Linked DNA regions of Stegostoma tigrinum. The protein of the gene in region 2 binds, or shares a complex with, the protein of the main gene of each other region. Links are inferred from orthologs where the notes say so. Each region holds a gene or a part of one and is shown on either strand. Other genes may lie near its edges. The genes, in order: calcium-activated potassium channel subunit beta-4-like and kcnma1a.

The links.
Region 1: the proteins of kcnma1a (region 2) and calcium-activated potassium channel subunit beta-4-like are in contact, whole or in part, in a cryo-EM structure (PDB 6V22), measured with the Homo sapiens proteins. The link is inferred for Stegostoma tigrinum from reciprocal best matches to the Homo sapiens genes KCNMA1 and KCNMB4. Residues at the interface, in NP_001154824.1 of Homo sapiens: Phe98, Phe99, Leu102, Phe103, Leu106, Leu107, Arg109, Thr110, Tyr113, Leu114, Thr116, Val117, Asp238, Leu240, Trp241, Leu244, Pro327, Trp328, Asn330, Gln332, Leu367; in NP_055320.4 of Homo sapiens: Thr11, Glu12, Ala13, Glu14, Lys16, Ser17, Leu20, Leu24, Ile34, Phe35, Cys38, Trp39, His105, Thr164, His165, Val183, Leu186, Ile187, Leu190, Thr191, Ala194, Leu197, Ala198, Lys200, Ala201, Met204.

The regions. Positions count from the first base shown.
Region 1 is NC_081371.1:45,105,428-45,117,322, forward strand, and holds the start of calcium-activated potassium channel subunit beta-4-like, read right to left. Parts: upstream 5,373-11,895; 5' UTR 5,026-5,372; coding exon 4,690-5,025; intron 1-4,689. UniProt on the Homo sapiens protein: Regulatory subunit of the calcium activated potassium KCNMA1 (maxiK) channel. Modulates the calcium sensitivity and gating kinetics of KCNMA1, thereby contributing to KCNMA1 channel diversity.
Region 2 is NC_081390.1:16,014,774-16,027,573, forward strand, and holds the start of kcnma1a (calcium-activated potassium channel subunit alpha-1a), read right to left. Parts: upstream 6,327-12,800; 5' UTR 5,670-6,326; coding exon 5,394-5,669; intron 1-5,393. UniProt on the Homo sapiens protein: Potassium channel activated by both membrane depolarization or increase in cytosolic Ca(2+) that mediates export of K(+). It is also activated by the concentration of cytosolic Mg(2+).

The DNA.
Region 1 (11,895 bases), on a different chromosome or scaffold from region 2:
CTTTCTGATGCTGTTCGTGTCAGCATCTTCTGACCCAATTCTTTGGATATCCATTATCCTTGAACACTTGGAAGAGGTATTGTTCTTCCCCTTGGCGTAGTTCCATATTGCTGCAGTGTGCTGTTGCCCATTTAAACAGTGTTTGCACGCAGCTTTGTTTGTGCATGCTGGGATTGTCACTGTTGAAGTTCAGTACCTGGTCTGCGTGTGTGGTGTTTTGGTGTATTTTCGTTTGCAGCTCCCCATTTTAGGTTAGATTAGATTCCCTACAGTGTGGAAACAGGGCCTTCGGCCCAACAAGTCCACACCACCCCTTGGAGCATCCCACCCAGACCCATCCCCCTATAACCCATACACCCCTGAACACGACGGGCAATTTAGCACGGCCGATCCACCCAACCTGTGCATCATTAGACTGTAGGAGGAAACTGGAGCACCCAGAGGAAACCCACGCAGACACGAGGAGAATGTGCAAATTCCGCACAGACAGTTACCCGAGGCTGGAATCGAACCCGGGTTCCTGGCACTGTGAGGCTGCAGTGCTAACCACTGAGCCACCGTGTCACCCTGGGAGTTGTTGGTTCTTCTCCTCCTCTCTAGTGAATTTTATTCCGATGAGGGTGTTGTTTATAAGTTTGTGTGTCTCTACTAATTTGGTCTGTTTAACGATGACAAATGTATAATCTCCGTAGCATATCCACTTTTTAGGTTGGAGTTGCAGAAGGGCCATCCTTTCTAGCCTTTGCATCACTGCTTCTGCTATGAGTCCAGAGATAGGCAATCCCATGGGTGTCCCGTTGATTTGCTCGTATGTTTGGCCATTGAAGGTGAAGTGGGTTCTCAGGCATAGGTCCAATAGTATTAGCATGTTACCCTTGGAGATGGTTTCACTGGGGTCATATTCTTGTTCAAGTAGTGTTGTCATTGTTCCCCTTGCTAGTGACAAGTCTATTGATGTGAATAGGGCAGTGACATCAAACAATATCATGGTCTCTTCTATCTTTATGCCTTTGATGGAGTTGAGGAATTCTTGGGCTGAATGGATAGAGTGGGGTGACTTGTTGACTTGGTGCCCGAATCTTCATTGTAGTTCCTTTGCTAACCTGTGTGATGGAGTGCCTGGGTCTGAGGGGTCATTTGGCTTGTGCACTTTAGGGAGGCCGTCGAGTGGGGTGTGTTGGTTCCTTCAGGTTCCATTTTTAAGAAGTCTGTTTTGTTGATCTGTCCAGTTTGCTTAAGTCTTTGTAGCATGTGAAGGATTTTTTGCCTAGTTGCGGTGTCAGGTTAGTCTGTACTGGCCAGTATGTGTTCTCATCAGCAAGCAGTGTTTGTGCCGTTGAGATGTAGTCCCTTTTACTCATTATCACTGCCAGGAACCCTTTGTCTGCAGGTAGTATAGTGATGTTCTTGTCCTTCTTTAAATCTGTCCAGGGCTTGTCTTTGCTGTGCGTTGAAGGTGGTGAGTTCCCTCTTTCTGGTTAGTGTTAGGACTACTATCTGTCTTATAGTTTGTACTGTTTCTTCATTGATATTGTTGGTCTTGAGTGTGGCTTCCAGTGTAGATGGCCATTCTGTTTTATTGGCTTCCCTGTAGTTGTAGTTCAGTCCTTGGGTGAGAACTACTTTTTCCACGTCTGTCAGTTTCCCGTCGGAGAGGTTTCTTATCCATGTGTCAGTTCTGTTCTTGTCATTTTTGTGGGTAAGGGTGGCTAGCTTGTCATGCAGGGTCTGTCTTTTCTTGGCTTTTGTGGTCTGTTGGCTGATGTTAATGGCTCATTCCATGTCAGTTGTCCAGTCTTGATTGGTAGCTTCCAGGAATAACATTTTTTGGTACATAATTGCTCTGTTGTATTTATGGAGCCAGTTGGGTGCATAGTTTATCATTACCCTTACCATCTTGCAGCCATTTTGTACTGCTGTTTTCCAGGCTGTGGGTTGTTGATGGGTGGTTTGTACTTCACACTGTTGGTAATACCCCGTTCCTAAGGTATCCAAGTAGCGAGTAGAGTGGCTCGCAGGTTGCACTCTCTCATTTGGCATAGTTTTCCCATTTTCTTGCCAATTCAAGCATGTTGCACCCATAGGTCTCTAAGGTTTTAGAAGACCTGTAGCTCTGGTTGTGGGTTTGGAGATTGATTGGCTCCCTGAGCTGGTTTGTTGTTTTGCAGATGTTTCCTTCATGTACTTGGTTGTAGCCTCAGATGAAGTGTCGGATATGATGCCATAATATATAAGATGCCACAGTAACCATCCTAGCACACACAAAAGAAGTTGTATGTGAACACGGTTTAAAAGGACAACACACTGCAGCAGCACGGAACTACACCAAGAGGAAGAAAAATATCTCTTCCAAGTGTTCAAGGATAATGGATATCCAAAGAATTGAGTCAGAAGATGCCTACAAGAACAGCAACAGAAAGATCCTACATGCCCCAACACACTCAAACTACCCTACATCAGGAACACATCAGAACTCACCACAAGACTCCTACGACCACTGGGCATCAGTGTGGCATAGGAGCCCATGTTAACCCTACGACAACTGCTCACCCAAACTAAAGACCCACACCCCACCATGGACAGGACCAATGTCATCTACAAGATCCCCTACAGACAGACGGTGAGAAACACTACATCGGACAAACAGGAATGAAACTAACAAGAGTAGAACACCAACGGGCTACAAAAAGACACGACCAATACTCATGACTAGGACAACACCAAGATCCTGGCACAGGCTAGGCAGAGACAAGCACGAGAATTCCTGGAAGCATGGTACTCCACGAAGAATGCTATTAATAAACACATTGAACTCGACCCCATATGCATTCCACTACGAAGGAAACCCAGAAGTGAGGCAATCCATCTCAATGGACCAGAGTTTAAAAACCAGACAGGAAAACAGACCGACGCTTCATCAAAGGCTGCACTGAGGATGTTACCAACCATGGTAAAGAAACATTTGCAAAACAACAACCCAGTTTGGTGAACCAACCAACCTCAACACCATTACTCCTGCTTTCAGATACACTTTCAGCTGATAGGAGGATGCTGACCATTGCCCCAATTCAGCATCACTTAAAATGCCAACACCTTGCTGTCCTACAAATAGGCAGCCCTATTTTGTTGGGAGGTTGCAAGCCATCATATACCTTCAAAGACACTGATTCATGCAGAAACACAGTCCTGTTGGCATCATGGCTTTCCAGTACCTTGCTGAAATGTACATTCAGCATGATGGAAATCAACAGGACAAACGTCACCAGAATATTTCGTTTTAAGGGTATCTCAATAATTTCCAATCCTCTTTGAAAAAGCACATTTGACACTCTTCAGCACAGGATAATGATTATTGAACAGAAGTGGGAAGTCTGACCATCTTTAGCACACTGCACACACAGGCTCATTGTAGGAACATAATTATTTCTGTTTTCTTGCCTGTTTGGTTTTATTTCACATCTGGCAGATCCTCTCCCAACTAATGGAGCTCAAGTGAGACTGGCAAATATCAATTTTCATGTGGTGTTTCATAATTTGGAACTGCTTGCATCTAAATATTATCAGTGTTTGTACTGTTTACATATGTCTTGATATTCTTGCCCCAAAATGTAAATCAGAAGAGCCCAGCAAGTGGATTTGAGCTAAGCCAGTATCAATTTTAATGCTACTTCTGTAGGTTTCTTTTTAGTTGAACAACTGGAAAGAATTTCAAAAAACACAACTGTGTTATATTTTATTGAAATACAATTGTTTGAATGACACCGGGCTGTATTTTTAAAAATTGATTATTTAGACAAGTTTATCTCCAAATTACTCAACCAAGATTTCTGTGTCATTTACTCGGATGTGTGATTAACCTTTTTCTTTAGAAAAACCCCATAGCATCTATTATTGACTTTTTAAAAATGAATTGGCTTGGAATATTGGATAGCTGCACTTTATTCATACATTACTTCATCAATTAAGTGCATCCTGGATTTGATAACTACACTAACCTATGTAAATCAATACGACAGAGATTTTAAAAGGTTTCAAAATACAAATTACTTGTTGAATAAAGTCAGGAAGCATCTTTAAGCCTTTGTTCCATTAGTTGTTGTTCATACAAAACAAAAAACTTTTACTGAACAAAAGCTTTGCATTTATAATGTACCGTAGAGGACATTCCAAAGTGCATTGCAATGAATGAAGTACTGTTGTAAGGTAGGCAGCCAATTCTTGAACGAATAACGTTTGGGTGATGCTTTTTGATTGGCAAAGGACGGCCGAAACACTGGGAGAACTCACTCCTCATCGAATAGGGCTGTGGGATTTACCCACCTGAGGGGCACAGAGAACTAGGTTAAACATCTTATCCAAAAGACAGCACTTCCCTAGTCCCACATGGAAGTCTAACTGGGATTGTGCGGGGACTTAGAGATCAGACAATTGCCACCTAACAACACGATGGTGCATGTCTATTGTACAGTTAGGTAACATTAGTAATTACTGATTGTATATTCACCTCTGAATTATCTAAAAGTTACTGTATCTTTTCCAGAAAGTACAATTAATATATTAAAGAAACTGCACGCGCTAAATAAGATGCCGTGGAACATGACTGCAAAATATATACAACATCGTTAAACGTTCATGTCCCTAGGTTTATTTTAAGCCTCTTTAGAGTGACACAGCAACAGCTCACTTTACCTTAGGGTTTCGAATGAGTTGTTGTTCGTCATAATGGAGCAGCGCTTGGCTGTTAGTTTGGGAATTGTTTACGAAGATCTGGAGACAGGGATAGAGCGACGTGCCTTTGCAATTTGCCCCACATGTGAAAGTGCACTCAGACATCTCAGCGATTTGCCGCAACGACAGCACCGTACAGTTAGCAGCCTTACACTGCATGTTGTTCAGCGTGGGGTTTAACCAGCAAAAGCCAAGGATGAATAAGGAGACGATGCCGGAGACTATGAGGAAGAAGCCGAGCCTAATGCTTTTATCCTCGGCCTCGGAATACTCATAAGTGACCCTGGGCTTCGCCATCAGATGGCGACTCGCTCGCCCTGAGGAAGTTCTCAACACATCCACAATCTAGTGCAGGCTTTAGCCCTGGGCAACCGCTTTAAAAACTTTCCACAGTTCAGCCTCGACAACCGGCGGCTAAAACTCCTGAATAACTTCGTTGTTGTTGCAGAGGAAATATCCGCATTTTGTTCGCTTTCTTTTTGGGCATGTAAAAGCTACGTGCGGCTTTCCCTCTAGCCCCGATGCCGCTGTGCAAAGCCTGTCAGTTACATCTGGATGAGGTAAGCTACTTAGATAGAAATAGCTCACAGCTCTCAGCGGCTGCTGTTTACTAACTGCTCTGCTAAGGATCATATCTGCCAGACTGAGCTGCCAGGCAGTGGGAGGGTCTCTGTGCTAATGATGCCCCCGAGGAACTGGCAGATGGCATTTCTGGATCCGCCTTTGGGTGACAGAGACTCCCCACTACAGAGTAGGGCTGTGGTACAAGGCATTTCCCTGAGGGCTGCAGCCTGGGCGTGTTTTACCTACAGAACCCTATGTCCCAATAGGACAGCATTTAAACCAGAAATAAGTCTCCAATTTATAGCATCCGCAGTTCTTTCGGTTTTTATTTCGTATTTAATCCGTCCTTCCTATCAACCGTTCACTAAGTATTAAAGTTCTCTCACTGTCCGCAACAGAGCACGTTAAGTTCATTATATGGTTGAGGAAGGCATGTCACAGTCACATAATAGAATTCTAAATAGAACCAGAACTTGCGCTAATGTAACTGATACATTGATCAGATAAAATACATAAACTTGTGAATAAGGATGCTGTCGTGAGTTTCAAATAGAAGAGTCTGAAAGAATCTCTCCAGATGCAGAAGTCATTCCGAGAGGTCCATCAATAACTTTGCGCTATATTTACCTGGCGCCCATCTCCGTTCCCGAGGTGATCCTGTAAAATGTTAAACCAGGGCAGCAGCACGTCGCGAAGAAGCGGCGGAGAGACAGAGCAGTCCATTTCATGCCCACGATCTGTTAATTGAACCTGGCCCAGCAGAAAGCGGCTTTCCTTCCCTCTAACATTTTTCTTTCCTGCCTGTGTATAAATCACATCGTGGCGGTGGGGCGCGTGGAATTTTTTCCAGTTCCTCCAATTCCTCTCTGGGCAGTCCGATAGCATCAAAGAGCGCCAGAAATCGCGGAGATTTGGAGCACAGTTTGCGCCCTGAAACAGCAGCAGTAGCGATGAATTTCCATTGTATAACACTGCCGCCAGGGCACGGCCTAACGCCCGGGGGGGTCCAACAAATCACCCTACTGGATTCTACGGAACTTACTCACTGAATGCTGCAAGATGCCTGCAAGGCTGAAAGATAGTGTGCTTTTACCTCCAGCTTCATTTGGAGAGGGGGTACGCTATTCCTCGTCTCGAACCCCTTCGTGGTCACAAAGCCACCCCAAGAGCCCGCCCCCTGCTTAAGGCTAACGGGGTGCCACCGGCATTTCAGTCAACTTCATTCCCGCAACTACCACCAGTCATATGACTGAACGCATACACGCTTACTCAAAACTACAAGCTAGATTCTTCACATTCCCCCGCCCCCAAAAAGGGGCTGTAGTTAACGTAGATAGCTTTCTTTAATAACGTACCTCCAGTGTGAGTACTGTTTTCGGTGATCAGCCACCCCACCGCCAGGGTCTGTGGAAAACGGGGGGGGGGGAGACTTGGAAAGATTTAGGGGGGCGAAGGTGGTGGTGGCGGCGATTGAAGGCACGGCTGCCAAACGGCGGCGTGGTTCAAACATGGGGATGGCTTAAGAGGCCAGAAACCTCCTGTAGGAGGTTACACTGTTGGACATGCTCTCTTCTGGTGTCAACAACAGTGTTGGACTCAAAACTCATCAATTCTGTTCCTTGTCCTTTCAACGATGGAAGTGATGAATTATTTGCTTACCATTCGGTTTACGTTTAACCAGAATGATGGGAGGAATAATCCACGTCAAGCAGTCTCATCATCTCACCTCACACTATGTATCTAGGAAATGGGATCAGGGTACAAATGAAGGTTGTGTATAGAACTTCTCATCTTCCTCTTCGGAACTAGCACCCTGCAAGGATCCGCGAATTAATGTCTTCGCTGCCTTAACCGTGTCATACTCAGTCTTCAGTTAGCGAGGTCATTAGCTAATTGACCCGTCCTGGAGCTCTACTACAGCAGGACCTATGAGAAAGGCAGGACGAGTTGGACGGAAAGCGTTCCTCATCTCAGACTCCTACCTTTTGAAGAAACAACTGCTCAGAATGTGTCGGGTATGTCAGTAGCTTTGCCAGCTGAAGAAAGGGAGGGAACTGTTTGGTTTTGTAAGTTACTTGCTGTGCTTTAAAGAAATGCATAGAAATGCCATAAAAGGAAAAGTGTTAGGAATATTTAGCCAGACATCGCAAAACAGTCCGTACAAAACAAAAAATGGATTATTCCATAACGTTTGCACTAATCTGGTAGAATTTTCAGTAAAACCAGACACTGCAGGTGCTGGGAATCCAGAATGGAAACATTTCAGGAAATGTTTGCAAGCCTGACAACAGCTGTTGAAACTGAATTAGAGATAGTTGGGCTGGAGGTGGTGAAGGGCCAAAGAAACCTTTTACAACTGCAAAACCAATTTCTTTGAACTGTCACCGAAAACAATACTCACACTGGAGGTACGTTATTAAAGAAAACTATCTACGTTAACTACAGCCCCTTTTTGGGGGCGGGGGAATGGGAAGAACCTAGCTTGTAGTTTTGACTAAGCGTGTATGCGTTCAGTCATATGACTGGAATCACGTTTGCCCGCTTTCTACTACATCAATTCCTACAATTCATGTTAAAATACTACATCTCAAGCAGGTATGTTACTCATTGTCTTATCATTGCTGGTTATATTTGTGACGACGTTGAAGTGACAAAGATCCATCCAGCTAGTTTCTAACTTTGTCTTCCCACTGACACAGTTTAAAGATGACCAACCTACAATGAAAGCAGGCTGGTTTATGGTTTCTGAATCACTAGGAATGTTAGCGAGGCAAGGTAAATCGAAAGCCGTATCAAAAACAGCTTGAAACGAAAAAGATGTTTAGTGTTACTGTGGCCAGTTCAGGGCAACATAGTAAAAAGATAAACATGATTTTTTTTAAAATGGCTTAACCTGAACAAACGTTCACCTGCTAGTTTGGCTCAGACAAATCATCCCATGTCCACACTACTAAACTTGCTAATCGTAAACAGGCTGAAGCTAAAAATAGCGTTCCTTAAGAGGGAGAAAACAATCGATTGGATTACCCCCCGATCAACAACTCCTGCTGGAAGTCCAGGTGAAGGGTTTCAGCTGATCAGTGTTCGTAGTTAAATTCACGTGTGAAGAATTATTAATCCGGTGGAGGTACTCAAGCGTGACCGATTTGAGTCAAAAGTAACAAGTTAATATCTGAAATGAGAACGGCAGAAATTACCAATGCAGGGGGAGGCTATTGCAATGTCTGTATTGGCTTTTTTTAAAATTAAATTTGGCGGATGAGTTGGTGGGGGGACGATAAAACACATCTTGTAAACTAAAATGGAAGGAATATCTAGTAGATTATGGGGATAAGGCCCAGCATCACCTCTTTTTCCAGCAGCTTACTTCCAAATAACTACTCCATGTGAACCTGTACGTTACTGTCCTGACCTTGGACGAAGGGTGGCCTTGTGTACAATGCCCAGTACAAACCACTTTTCCATTTCTGGTGTATGGTTATCGAACGACACAACCTTCGATCATAATTAAATTGGTTTGGAAAACTGGGTGACCTCGATTTATTTCAAGTACACATCAACCAGAACCAAATATAGAGCATGCCATATTTGGGTAAAGTGGGGTTTGGATTTTTTTAAAATGTTAATTATGGCCCCACTAATTAATTAACGAGTGAATATACGCGATTTGTTAGTTAATTGAAGCTCGAGTAGCAATTAGACCCTCCCAGCAGCTTTGCAGTCCAACTCATCTTAAAACAGCTACCCTTTTCTGTAAAGCGCTCGAGGATGGCGAACACTGAAATCGAACGTCTGTGATGCTCTCCATCGTCGAAGAGCACCCCTATACTATTGTTCTGTCCGGACATCTTGATGGCTAGATTCCTCCAAAGTAACAATAATAAGTATTCAGGAACGTATGCAAAAGTATTTTTCAGGGAATACCAGTGACATTAGCAAGTAATGTTGAAGAAAATATTTGTTAACAAACCAAATCAAAGCCAAACTACCTGCCATTAAACGTGAGGTTAATGTTGGTGAATACTCAGTCTACTAACTTCATTGAGTAGATTCTCGTACTAGTTACATTCCCTCCTCTCTTGAGCGAGGCTTAGTCAGTGTCAAGTTAAGGATAATTGAAATTTCTTCCAGGAATTAAATTCGAGGCGGTTCATTGTGAACATAGGCCCACATGTGCCCATAGCACAACAGGCCCACTTTCATCTCTTCATAAAACCTTACAACCGGAAATCTTCACTTTGATGTTCGGCATGAATTTAAACATGCAGCAAGCTCCCAAATACGCCAATATTTGATGTGAATTTTATCGTTAAATCAAAAGCATGCATCGTCAGCATAACTGTATTGGGTAAGAGGTGCTCGGTGATGGGGAGGGTGCTTCAGCACCAGTATGCTGTATTCGGGTTTTCAGAAAGCAGCTAAGTTCCCACACAAGTTGACAAACTAATTTGGAGCATAAGGTACAGGGTTGGATACCTTAGAGGACTTCTGGCCCTAGTGGACACTACCGCCACACAAAAGCCCCAACAACGGATAGTTGTTACAACAGTCAACTTTTAACTTCATTTTTGAATGGGCTTAATTTTATAATCTGCCATGATGGGATTCAGACCCATGCCTCCAGACCATTAAGCAGGGCTTCTGAATGTCTAGTAACATAGCGCTATGCCACCACCTTGCACATACACGATTAAAAATACAACTTAGTTGTGATATACTAGTATTAACTGAAGATTAGTTTATGGAAAGAAAACTGAAGAAATAAATGTGTCTTTCTCAGGTTTGCAGGCTGCTGTTAGTTGGAAACTGCAAGTAGGAAACTGCAAGTAGTGGTGTTTGGGCTCAGCTGTTCACAATTTGTATCAATATTGACGGGGGGCATTTGTGAAGTGATAGCGTTTCTATCCCTAGGACAGAAGGCCTTAGTTCAAGTCCCACCTGCTCTAGAGATGCGTAATTTAATCTCAGAACAAGTTGATATTCCTACATTTGGCAAGGACATTACAATAGGTGGAAACGTGTGGTGTGAGGAGGATACAAACACACTTCAAGGAGATTTGGAGGGATTGAGTGAATGGGGAAATATAGAAATGAAATCTACAGTGAATAACTAAATGCAGGGTATTTCTTAAAATGGAGAGACTGGCATGTATCCTTATTCGTAACTAACATGTCGGTGCAACAATCAGGAAAGCAAATGATAGTTTGACTTTTGAGGAATTTTGGTGGAGGACAGATCTCTTTCATCAATTGTATGGGGACTCTTGGTGAGTCTGCACCTGGAATTATGCTGCAGTTTTGGTTTCTACGCCTAATCACAGGAGTGCAATGAAGGTTTACCACAGTAACCGGTGGGAATGTGCTACAGTCCGATCAAGTGACGAGGCCCTGTATTCTGTAGAGTTAAGAATGACAGTGATCTTATTAAAACTTTTTAAAGGCTAAATAGGGAGGGTTTCCCTGGCTATGGAACATGGGAACAGTCTTACAATAAGCTACTTAAGACTGGCGTATGATGGGACTTCCTCACATGGAGGGCAGTGAATCTGTGGAGATTATGGAAATTCTGTAATCAAGCATGTTCAAGACCGAGATCAATGGTTTGAGATACAATTGACATCAATGGATTTATGGGAGTTTCATAGAAAAATGACTGAGGTAGATAATCAGTCATGATCTAGAATGGCAGAACAGGTTCATGGAACGGAATGGCCGACTGCATCTTGTTTCCATGCAAGAGCAGGGAAGTGGTGCCTGGTATCCTGGTCAGTATTTATCCCTGAACCTATTTAACAGATTAATCTAGGGATTACCACATTTCAGATTGCAACCAGTTTATATTGGCGTACAATGTTTCTTAAAGCAGTGACCGCATTTCCTAAAAAAAAATCTTTCATTAGGGATAAAATGCTTTGTTTGTGAAATGTGCTATATAAATGCAAGGCCCTCCATAGCTAAAATGCCATTCTGTAATTATTACAACCAAGGGACTGCATCTACAGATGCTGTCATTGGTGAAAGTTCAACTTATACCACAAGATGCTTTTACTAATTAACAGAAAAACCGTGACAACCAAAAAAATCAATTAAAACAGTTTGTTAGACTTACCTTATGATGTTGTATCCACAATGTTTAAATGGCATTTTAAAAATTGGGGAAAGAGATAATTATGTAGTGACTACACTTATGCACTGACTTGGGTCATCAACAAAGGAGGTATGCGGTCCTGTTTGAGGAACATAATGAAAGCAAAAGTATATGTATCATGATAATTTGCTGCTGTAAATAATGTAATCTTTCACCTTACTTAAAGAAAACACACACCTTTCTTCCCTATCAACATCCTGTGACCTATTTCTCAAAGTTCTTTCAACTTTGGAAAGAGCACTAATCATTATAAAAAATGTCACCATAACATGCTTCTACTTCACTGAAATCAAGAATTTAGTAAGAAAGCAATTGAGAGTCAATTTTTCAGAACAAAAGCAATTTAAAGTATATAAGATGCAAGTGAAAGAACTCATGAAATCTGATGAGGACAGTATGAAAAATCGTATAGATCCAGTGGGATCACAATTGTTCATCAATTGTGGCAAAATGGA
Region 2 (12,800 bases):
AGAGTCAGCCTTTGGTATGGCATCTTTCAGACTAACGTAAGATATTGTGGAGTTCCACTTATGTTGGATGTAATTTACCCTTAAAATTCCATTCTTTTCTCCACCTATTTAGTTGTATTGTGCTAGAAATGCGAGTGCCATCTGGCATAAACTCCAGGTCTGAGCATTCAAGTCTTGAAATTGGACTCAGGACCACAACTTTCTGATTCATACTAGAGTACTATTACCAAGTGGTGGACAACGTGTTTACTTTTGGGATTAAATGCAAAAACATAGACCGGTTACATGCTAGAAAAGACTGTCAGCGCTAGTGCTGACTGCCAGTGTGATCTAAGTCCTTGATTCATGGATCTTCGCAGAAAAGACACAAACATATTAAGGTAGCTTTACAGCAGACGTATTAATAGCCTGCTGTTGATTCACGGTAAACTCCACGGTAAACATGGACAGTGAACAAATAAAATGACCCAGCTGCATCAAATTGCATTGCGTGTGTCAAAACATCATGATGCAATTTTCCTGTATTCACCTTGTAATACATTCCTGAGCAGCCATTTGACTACATACAAAACATTTGAAATTGCAGCAGTAAAAACTGACGCCATCCTATGTTTAAATTCATTTGACAAGTGTGACCAAAATGAAGTTACCATCAGATACTTGAACAGACAAATGCATATTGATACCTCCTCTTTCAGTGTGTATGCAATACAGAGTTCTGCAATGCTGTTTAGTAACTACACACCAATTTCTGGAATCATACATGAACCAGAAATAAAAATACATTCAACAAAGCAAAGAGATGAAATTTCAGGGCTTTAGAATGAATGAAGAAACCAAGACATGTTTAATTATTAAGCTGCCTATAAAAAGCTGCCAAAAATTGTCATTCCATGTCTTTGGTGTACTACATGGCAACTGTTTACAGGAAAATAATTTCCAAAAGGGATGACATCTGAACCTCTGTTTTAAAGGTTTATATTTCAGTGGCATGTTCAAGGGAGGGGTGCTTGGTCCTTGATCAGGCCAATTCACATTTTCACCAGATTCCCTGCAACATTACCATCAGTGCTCAGGAGCTCAGCACTGAGACAAGGATTATGACGACATCATCAACTTAACAGGTCAATCAAAATTCCAACTTAAAAATACATTTGCTAGAGTTAATTAATTAAGTAGTGAAAGTCTTTCTCGATGTTTCCTCTACATCAATCAAAATCTACTGGCTTTTGTGGTGCAGTGATAATGTCCCTAATTCTGGGACAGTAGATCGGGGTCAAGTCACACCTATCATGGAGGTGTGTCATAATATATCTAAGCAGATTGGTTAAATAATTTTTTCACCAAGCCAAACTGGCCACCTAAAGCATGCAGGTATTAGTGATGCGTAACATGGCTGAAGCTGTTAATGACAGGCAATGTGAGGTATTTAAATTTGACAACAATAACCTGTTCCAGTGCCACCTGGAAATCATCCAGTCACAAGTGCAACTGAGTACTAAATGCTGAAGAAGGCATCGCAGCCCAATTCTGTTCCCACATAAACTAAGACAAAACACTAAACTTGCACCTTCCACCAGGAAGTTGGTGAATGGATACCAGAAGCAGTAACCTAAACAGATTTACTCTTCGTCACTTCCACAACAAGTCGGGGACTCTGCACCAGTCCACTGTCATCCTGGTTTAAAGCAGCTTCCCAGCATAAATCACAATGAATCTATGACTGATCTTTGAGAATGTCTCAGCAGCCCCATGAGCCTTGTGTTTATCCACTGATGCGTCAATCCATTGATGCTGCATAATGAATAATTAATATTTTGTAATTAGAGAAATGAGAAAATCGTTAAATCCGTCTTAAATTGTCAAGATAAATCGTAGTTAAATAGTACTCTTGTCCCAGTGGGGAAGGAGCAAAAGACTGTGGATTACATTGACAGTTTAGGACACTGTACACCCTTATTTCAGTGATTTCAATGGCCTTGCACAACCTAACAATCAAGTTTACACATTTTGATGTTGGTTTTATTCATAAAAAGTTTGATAAAATCATTGAGAAGACTGCATAAGAGCTACGCTGATAATTTCATTCTGTCTGGATTTATCATCAAGTCCACAACATGAATCCTTTGAATCCTTAAAGTTGTTCTGGATTTTAAATTACAGGAACCCCATCTTCAAATGTTTAACTTTACACAGTGGAATCATTAATAGATAAGGGAACAAACAACTTTTAAACAAAAATATTTTCAGTATGTTGGCCATTGTTTTAAATCAAGTTTTGTTTATACATACACATCTCAGGATGTTTCAAAAAGATTCTAAGTAAACAAAATTGGACACCTAGTCAGTCAGAAAAAGGAGAGAAGTGGAAGGGTTGGTCAAAAAGCTTATTTAAAGAGATAGCCACGAGGTTTTGGGCAGGGACTGCACAGTTTCGAAACTTTACAGCTTAAAGCAATGTTGGGACAAGACATGGTAGAAACGCACAGAGACCAAAGTTCTGGGGAATGTAGGATGGAGGAGATTGAAGAGATATGGAGCAATAAAAACTCAACACACCTGATTTTCACCACTAACATGTGGAGTGGCATCATCGGCTATTTAACTATCTTCTTTCTTACACTGGAAGCTATACACATTAATACACAGAACTTGGTTCTTCGCAAGCAAAAAAAACTACATACATTCAACCTGCTTCAATTCAACAGAAAAAGATAACTGGATCATTTCTTAGGGCAATACCTTGACCAGTCAGAATCAAATTGCTTGGTTTAAAGTGTAAACAAATCTGATAGGTAACTGTTAATCGTGCATTCTCCTCTTCCAATTAGTCCACATGCTAAGTAATTAGCTCTGGGCTCGGAGCCCAGGTTCTACCTGCTCCAGAGACATGTCATAATATCTCTGAATTGAACTGATTGGGTCTTTTCAGTGGAAAGCTTAAAGCTGTTTCATAAACTTGTGTTTTTGCTGGAGCTCAATGAACATGTATAAATATCGCTAAGAAATTACTCATTTTGTAAAAGCTTTTCATTTTGCTTTTATCAGGGCAATTTGCATGAATGCCAATTCAAGGAGAAAACCTACATCCAGATATTTTCTCATCAACCTGGGCTTGTATGTAGCTTATGTACACGATGGCCAATTTGTGATATGAAGTGTCATAAACAACAAAGAGATGAACAAGTTAATAGCATACTATTTCAGTTGGCAATACCCAGGAAAGACACTGAATGCTCCCATCTCTTTTATAAATACTAATATTTAAACGTCATGCAAAACTACTGAAGCAGGCAGCTATTATGTCTCACTTTAACATTTCAAAACCACAGTGCCTCTACCATTCAGCAGGACACCACAATACTATACTAAATCAAAAGAACAAACTCGAGTCTTGAAGTGGGGCTTGAACCCACAAACTACTGTGGGAGTGCAACCAAACTGAAGACTTGCAATCAATTTTGCACAGTTAACTTGCTCACTCAATGTCATAAATTGTTTTGTTTTTGAACTGAAACATAACCAAGATGGTTTTCTGTTGCCAAACATTGTATGTTACAATTTTAAAAACAAATAACGTGACCAAGAAATACATGCGCATAAAGTACAACAGAAGTGAAGTTCATTGAACCCAAAGTCCACTCCTCCAGTATTCAAGCAAGCTCTGCCTAAAATCCAAGTGTACTTTGACTATCATTAATAGACATGTCTGTGTTACTTCGACTGCCAGATTATTCTAAATATAAAGCTCTCTTTACAGGAAGAGACTCTGTCTAGTATTCTTTCTAAATGTATTTTTTGAGAGTCTATTTTTGATAAACTGAGATACTGTTGACAAATTAGGCTCCAAATAAGACCTTTGAAATGTTAAGATGTTAGCTGGTGTTGTACTTCATTGCATGCTTTCAAATCTTGAATCACAAGACCAGAAGGTATTCTCCCAATGTTGAACAAGGATGGGCAGTTTTGATGTTTCAGATCAGACAGCAAGACTGATGACTATTTCCAGCATATTTTGTTTTTATTTCAGATTCCCAGCATCTCCAGGATTTTGCATTTGTTTGGGCAGTATTGGATTGCGTATCCAGCTGCTTCATTCCATTCCCTATTAGTTAAAGCTCTGAGCCAAGCAGTGAGCGGCTCACGGACTAATTCAGTAAGCCCACAGCTATTTGTTTCTCATTCTACCTGGTAGGATAAAAATGTGCAGCTCATGCTTGATAAGGCTGAACAAATGTACAGTGCTATGTGGCTGAGGTCAATATTTGATTGCTTCTATTGAAAGCAAAATTGTTTTATATTAAATTGCAATGGCTGCTGGCAAATCTTTGACCTGTGCGAAATGCTGCATGTGAATGATCTGGCATGCAATCTCTGCAAAGGAGAACTAAATTGGGCTCGAAGCTTGGAGTGTGGAGGAGGAAAGTACATTTGCTCACAACTGAGTACTGAACTCATGAAAGGAGCTGGCAAAGCAGAGAGTGACAATCCTGTATTGAAACCTACAGCCCAGTACTAAAGCTACAGTGTACAAATTCTATTTTATATCACTTCACAGGTGGCTGGTTTGATATTCTGTCAGACAGCATTAATGTACCCCCAGCAATGTCTTCTGGTTGTACTGCAGGAGAGCAGTCATATGCATTCAGACAGAAAAAAAAATCTGATGTTCATCATTACCATTGAAACGCGGTTGGGTGATCTACAAAGCGAGTCTACTTTGGGAGTTTTACATCCATTACCTCAGAGACTTTGCACCCAACAATGGTGGCATTACTCTCAATAGTACGGAAGAGAATGGCATAGAGGGTTGATGAGAAATCAGGACCTGCGTCCAAAATGCAGCCCTCTTCGTTGAAATCTATCCGATTATACAATGCATTATCGCATCTTGACATTCCTCAACATCAGAATACAAACCATGATAAGCAAAATGACCCACAAGTGGATTGTTCCAGCGACACTGGAACTTTATTAAACTCTAAAACCAGGTGGAGGTGGCAATCGCGCGTGTGCATTGAACATTTACCGAGTGCAAAATCCTGTGCGGCAGCTCAGTCATTTTAACATCAGGCAGCTACAATAATATTAAAGCCGGTGCAGTAAAGCAAGCCTCCAAAATAAACAGCAGGGAAAAAACGAGTTTCGCTTTTATTCACGACTCCTAGTGGATAAAAGGGGCATTTTTGCACTAAATTCTCCCTCAGAAACGAGAGCGGAATAAGAGAGAGAGGAACCTGTTCAGTACAGGGAAGGGGGGGCGGCAGAATTTAAATGACAAGTTGATGGAAATGAACAGTCTTGAAGGAGATCATGTTATTGAGAAGGTCGGCGTCCACTTGCCCCACACACAGCCCACCCCCCCCAAAAAAAAACAAAGAAAGAATCTTTACCTTATTCTTGAGGCCGCAGTGACAGCAGACAGCCCACAGGTAATGGACGGTCCTCCACAGGAGGATGATGAAGAGGCCGCCGAAGAAGGTGACCATGGACGAGGCGAGGAAGGCCCACCACATGCGCTGGTCATTGCTGTCGCAGATGGTCTCGGCGTCGATGGGGATGATGACGGGATCCATCTTCAGCAGGGCCGCGGAGTGCCGGCGGCTGGAGGTGGCGGTGAAGGAGGAGGAAGAAGAAGAGGAGGAGGAGGAGGCGTTTCCCCGGGCCATGGCTTTAGCAGCGGGAGGAGAGGGAAAGGCCGCGGCGGCGGAGGAGGAGCAGGCCCTCCGCCAGGCCCGGAGCCGCCATGGCAACCGACAGCTTTCTGAGAGAGAGAGAGAGAGAGAGAAAAGCTTCTTCTCAACACTTCTCACAATCTCCACAACAACTGACGCACGGACAAATTAATAATCCCCAGAGCAAATTCCCATCAGTCAGGTTTATAATCCTGAGGGGAGGGGAGGGAGAAGGAGAAATAAAATAATGGACTGGTTTGTTTTAAAATGTCCCTTTCGTTTCTCTCCCCCAATCTTGTGTTCAGAAGGGGACTTTTAAATTAAAAAAAAAAGCCGTAGAATAGTTCTTCCTTTACTTCTCTTTCGAATAGATCGTTGCTGGTCGCCTCCTTATATCTCTCTTTCCCTGCAGCGGCAGGGGATTCCAGTCACATACATACACAGATACAAAAAGATCAATCATAAGTGGATTTCTGATTGTTGTTTTTCTCAAGGGGAAAAATAGACGGGGGGGGGGGGGAAAAAGCGTTCTTCAAAAGCCAGGAGATGGACAGACACTACTGTTGCTGCTGCTGCTGGGTTTGCTCCAACCACTCCCTCTCCCAGATCTGCTCACACTGGTTGCTGCTGCTTACTGACTGAACAGGAGCAGCGACTGATGCAGATCAGCACAGCCCCTCAGCGCTCTGTTACTGATTGCATTAATCAGATTTTCTCCCCAGCCCCTTCCATTTATTTAATTCTATTTCCTCAACCTCTTTCCCAACTAAATCATTTTCCAACTGCACACCACCACCTCCCCTCCCAAGTCAAATTGCCAGAGATGATTTTTTTTTGTTCAATTCGATTTGTGATCATGTTTGCTCTGCACAAAGAATGCATTTGCAGTTTCACCTTTTGCCTTTAAAGCGCATCTTCCGCAAATATCTCGACCTCCCCCGCAGCCACACCGATGCTTATTTTTTAGTGCAAATTGCAGGTAGATTTTTCCCCCTGAAATCATTGTCACGGATTTTGAGGTTTTGAAAACAGAAAATTGGTGTTGAGAGAAAAGCTGAACAGTTGCTGTTGTTTTCCTATCGATTTCTTAATGGTTGGTGATAAAAGGTAGTTATGATAAAGATCTAATTATTCATCGTTATACGTTAAACAACAGTTTTGTAATATTTGACTGCTAGCTGACATCTAGTGACACAGGCAGAGACCGAGCGCTCCAATTCAATACAACGGGGCTATAATTAGTTATATTTCCGTGGATATAATTCAAGCCTTGCTCCTGTTATATAAAATCCTCAATTCATTTTCAACTGTCATCTTCCACACGATGATTTGTCAATGGCCGTGTTCAAGAGGTGGAGGCGATGTTTATCGAGAAGATTCTCCCATTTATTGTGTATGTTCAGCATCATCTCGCGGGCTGATATCTCAAGATTGTTACAATCAATAACCCTCATCATCACCTTCTCGCAACACGAATCTATACAGTGGTGCCAGAGTGGCTGGGCTTTAACCCCTTCCAGTGGCTGTGCGCTTTCCCTTATTTTGGCATTTTTTTTAGACCGACAAATTACCAGCCGCCGGACCCATTAAAATAAGGAACACACACGCATTTAGAGGAAGCTTCGACAGAACAGCTTCTGCCTCAGAAACATCCACTGAAAAGGTTGCACCTAGGAATCACATTCAGAGTTTTCGGGGTATTTAGATGGAAAAAAATAGCTTATTGATTGGCAAGGGAGTCAATGCCACGGTAGCCAACTGTGCATCTTCGATATCAGCCATGCCTCCTGCAGACGTTCACATTAAATCCAGATTTTTGCTCGTTTGCTTGAACTTATTTTTTCAAACGTTTTATTCACAACGCTAAATCGCCAGGAATAATAAAAGTAATGCAAAATAAAGTTTGTTCCGTAATACCGAAAGCATTAAATAACGACGAACGAAATGTTTGTTTGGTAAACAAAAGACCACCACAAATTACTGATGCACAATTAGATAGATGTAGTCAAAATGGAGTAATAAATGCTTGCTGAAAAATGTGTCACCCAAAAATTGACTAGCTACTCAAGTAAAACACTGTCAAATCAAAGTCTGTTACACAAAACTAAACCATTTTATAATTAGCAGGTTTCGATAACTTAATTCTACCTCAGCACTGAAAGGGATGAACGTAGGTTTAAATAGAACTGTTAATGTGCTTGGGACAAACGAAGCAACTTACAACGTACTAAACCGCATGGTACATCTACTGCCATCTGGTGGCTGTGCTGCAGTTCTCCGGGTTGAGGATTTCACGCACAGAAACATTTACCTGGTTAAACCCTCAACAGGTGTTACCTGACCCGCTGAGAGTTTCCAGACTTTTTGTCTTTCGCCTAACTTTGTCCGCGTTGCAAAACTCAAGTTGACCGATATATTTACTTTAAAATGTTTTCTGACTTGCAAAGTGGGGAATTGAATTTGAAATTGGCATATTCAGAAGATTTCCAGTTTGTCAGTTAGAGATTTAGATAATTTGGGTTAGATAATGTTGTCCCTGAAAAAAAGGACAACATTCTTCAGTTTTTATTTGGTTCCTCAACAACTTTCAAATTGTGTGGCGTTAAAAATATAATCAATGAAGATGTAATGGAGCCTGATGGTTGTTTTAAGACTGTCAACATGCCATTATTGTGTTTATGCAAAAGTAGAACAGCTTTGTATAAAGTGGCAGCTTAGATCAAGAGTTAGGTGCCAGTCTGATTCTTATTTTATTGCGCTATGTGACTCTTGCAAGGAGCCAAGTTTCATATTTCACAGCTGGTCAATGGGATCTAATGGACACTACAAACTATACCTAAGCCTTGTTAGCAGTTTGAGAAGACAGATGTGCCTGTCCATTGCAGTATCTCCTCACATGAAAAGGAAAACAATGAATGAAGATGCAAAATACATGCTGCAGCAAGAGGCAAAACAGAAGTTACTACCATACAATGCCAGTTCTCCCAAATGTGTTCTGCATTTACAGACTTGAGAACAGCATTATTTTTATTTATCCAAATCTTATTTCAGTACAATCTCTTGCACCCACATGTTTAAACACTGCTGGAATCCTTCAATACATAGTATCTAAAGTTTAGAAAATAAATAAAATTAATGCACATGATGATAAGTTGTTAAACTTAAAAGTGGCAATATCACAGTGGAACATTTTTCTTCACTCATTGGCATGTAGATAAATTAAAAACAACAATGTTTGAAACATCTCAAAAAATCTGTTCGTACAAATAAATGTTAGTTCCCACATTTCTCATTATCACTTTGTATTAGCAGAACATATTATCAGTGTCAGTTGTCCCTCAACAGAAGCAGAAAAGCACTATTTGAACTTGTCCTTAACATATGACTGCAAATACAATTACCAGCCAGTTTTGTATTTTGATGCTGTGTCATCTTTTTATTGTCATTTCAATTATAGTAACAAAAGCTTTTATGAGTTCTGTGAGAAATTTCTCTGGCCATTATTTGAACAAAGGATGAGCCAATTTAAAATAAATTGTAATTCTATCCGTGTTAAAGATAACAAGACATCTTATTGAAATGTCTACATGGTACATACACTAGTATCATAATCTGATTTCATCTTACCAGCCCCACTCCAAGAATTAATTTTGAAAGAAACATGATGTTGCCAAAGTTAAAGGAGAGTTAAAGAAGCATTTTTATTCTGGTCATTTTCTATTATTAGCAAAACCAAGTTACAACAAGACTGAATTTCAAGGAAGAGCATAGTATAAGAAGATATTTAGTGGCACCAACATGGTCAGAATGCAAAACCGTTGAAAGATTTCAAAGTTTAATTTTCTCTCAGGAATCAGGTATAAAAGATAGAATAGCATAAGTGATATCGACATGTGGAAATGTAATTTTAACAGAAAATATTGGAATCATGTTTAGGTAGTGGCAAACATAATATTATTGAATTTTACATCTGGTTTGAAGGGGATAAGATTGGGTCTAAGACTGGTATTTGAAATGTAAATATGGTCGACTATGACGGCACGAAAGCTGAGCTATCCAAATTTATCTGGGATATTAGGGTAGGAAATAGATCAGTTGAGAAGCAAACATATGGAGCAACATGCGAAAATACTCACAGTAAGCTAATTCCTACAATGAAAAACAATTCCAAGGAAAGGACCTATAATCTATGATTAACTAAAGATATAAAGGAGAGCATCAAACTGAAGCAAAGGTGAATAACGAGTCAGATGTCTGGTCAGAACACAACGAATAGCAGAGAATGGCTAAAAATGTAATCAAGGCTAATACATTAGATCATCAGAAGAAGCTTGCTAGAAATATAACAAATAGCAAAAGTTTTTGTTGGCATCTCAAAAGGAAAAGCACAAGTAAATAAAGTCAATGAAAAGTGTGTTGCAAAGAAAAGTCATTGAACTCTAAACATTAAATTTATCTCTCTCCATAATCCTGACAGACCTGCAGAGTTTCTGCAGTACTTTCTTTTCTATTTCAGATCTGCAGCATCCATAGTGTTTTGGTTTTATTTAAGTAAAGTGAGGTTTGGTCTTGTAGAGGTTGTGAGTGGTGACATAATATGAGGTGAGAAAGAAATGGTTGAAGTAATGAATAAATAGTTTGCTTCTGCCTTTGCGATAGAGGATATATTTAAAAACCCCTTTAATGCCTGTAAATCAGGAAGTAGAAGGTAAAGAGAATCTTGGTAAAATTATGAACACAAGGGAAGTGTTACTGAACAAATTAATGGAGGATTGCAGGTTGATAGTTCTCTGGGTCCTGATGGGCTTCACTCTAGGGTCTTAAAGGGAAGTGGCTTTATGAGATAGGGAGCATGTTGGAGTTTTTTTCTGAAATTCATTACTGTTGAGAAAGTTCAATGGAATGGAAATGAGCAAATATCAAGAAGGGAAGGAGGCAGAAAACAGGAGGTTATAAACCAGTTAGTTTGACATCTATTGTTGGGAAGGTGATAGAATCTATCAGCAAGGAGATTACAACAGGGCACTTGAAAAATCTAGAACTAATCAGGAAGGATCAGCATTCTTTTGTGAAAGGGAAATTATTTGTTCGAATTGCTTGAAGGAATAACATGCAGTATGTTTTAAGGGGAGCCTGTTGTTGCATTATACTTGGATCTTTAGAAGACAGTAAGAATAGATAAATGCACTGCATGTCTTTCAACTTAACAAACAGCCATTTCTGAGTTCATTTCTTAGGACAATATCCTGACCAATCAGAATCAACATTCTAGTTCAAAATTTAAATAAAGCCTGACAATTAAATGGTCAATCATTATTAACTGGTACATTGTCCATGGTTATGCATCTACCAAGTCCATGTGCCAACCAATCAGCACTTTCCACTCATGGAATGTAAATGTTGGTTTTCCCTTTGAATTGATATTCTTGTGAAATATCCTGATGAGCGCAAGATGGAAAACTTTGACAAAATGTGTCTTTTTCCAACAATGAAGGTAATAATATTAAATATTAGTGTTTTGGATAGTAACTAACACTGAAAGATGATCATCGAGATATGGCAACAAATAGTTCCCAAAGCCTTGTCACTGCTAAAAAGTTGATAGGTTTCTTTTTTCATCCCAAAATCCCAAATCTTCATCACCATAATCACATTGTGGTGTATCCTACTTCATGATCTGGAGGTGGGGAGAGCACTCTGATATTTCTCATTAGTTGTTCAACTGACTATCACTATTCACAAACAATGTTATAAGCCGTCAGTGTTTGAATCCCATCCATTGACTCTGATTCTGATCAGCTTTATTCACAAAGTTATAATAACAGTTGATGTTACGAATGGTCAGGTTTCATCCCAGATGAAACTTTATTTATCATATTTTATTTTTGCTTTATTTCATGTGGCAGTCTTTTACTGAAACATAACTGCAGATTTGGTTTTAGCAATGAAAACAGGTTTATTAGATGAGAAATTAAAAATAGCACAGTTTAAAAGATTTCAAATTCCTGGCAAAACAAAATCCCATCTACTCCCCAATACCAACACTTGAAAATTAAAGTCTAGAAAGAAAACACTTCCCTATCAAATCTGTAAATTGGCTTAAATGCTCATTTTAATTTCCAGCCCTGTGAACTCTGAGGCTTGTTTCTTTGACTCACAAAACTGAGGTCTTTTCCATTAAGAAGACTTATCCCTTTAACTTTTCTGAACAAACCCCTTTTTGGGGGAAAAACTATTCTTACATCTGCCTTCAGTCAGATCTCCTTCAAACTAAGCCAGGTGTTTTTCTACTTCTTGTGTTTTTCTAATCTCAAATCAATCCTTATTTTCTAAACCCAAGAGCAAGTTAATGTATTTGGTATTTTCTCTGCCCTTTGGTAAAACCCGACAATATAAACGAACTTCCATTAACCATCCAAGAGGCTTTCAGTCTCATGTTTTCCGACACATACTGGTTTAAAATTATTGCTTGGTAAAATCCGATCTGATTAATTATTAAAACTGTCACATAAATCATCTAAACTCATGTGCAACTAATTCAAAGTCCAAAATCTAAAAAAAACCCTTTTAGTTATTATCTTTTTATAAATCACAAAACAGTGTACTAATTCTGCTGTTTAGCATGCCTACAGTCTGATGATGTAACTTCACCAGATTGAGACATTCTTTTTAAAACGTTTGAATGAAATATAGTATCAGATTTCAGATCAGTCACAATCACTAAATGTATCACTAAGTCCCAAGGACAAAAGAGTCCAAAGGTCCAACTTCTGAAATTTACTCAAATACCCAAGAAACCAGCAACAAAAAGACAATAATCAAAATCAACATTCACAAACAGGTAAACATCATAAAAATCAACAAGATTCTTCAGTGAACTTCTTAAGATTGACAACCTATTTTATGTGATTTATGTCAATATAGTAAACTTAATTTAATAATAATATATTAATTAACAGAACACTTCATCTAATAATTGTATTAGGTGGCTGCAGGTCCCCTTCTACATGCGACTAAATACAAGAGTTTAAAACTTTGTTACTCTTTCACCATTTGAAGATTACCAGCTGCTGTGGAGATATTGAAAGAGGATACCATTTTAGATATGTCTAAACAGGTTCATTA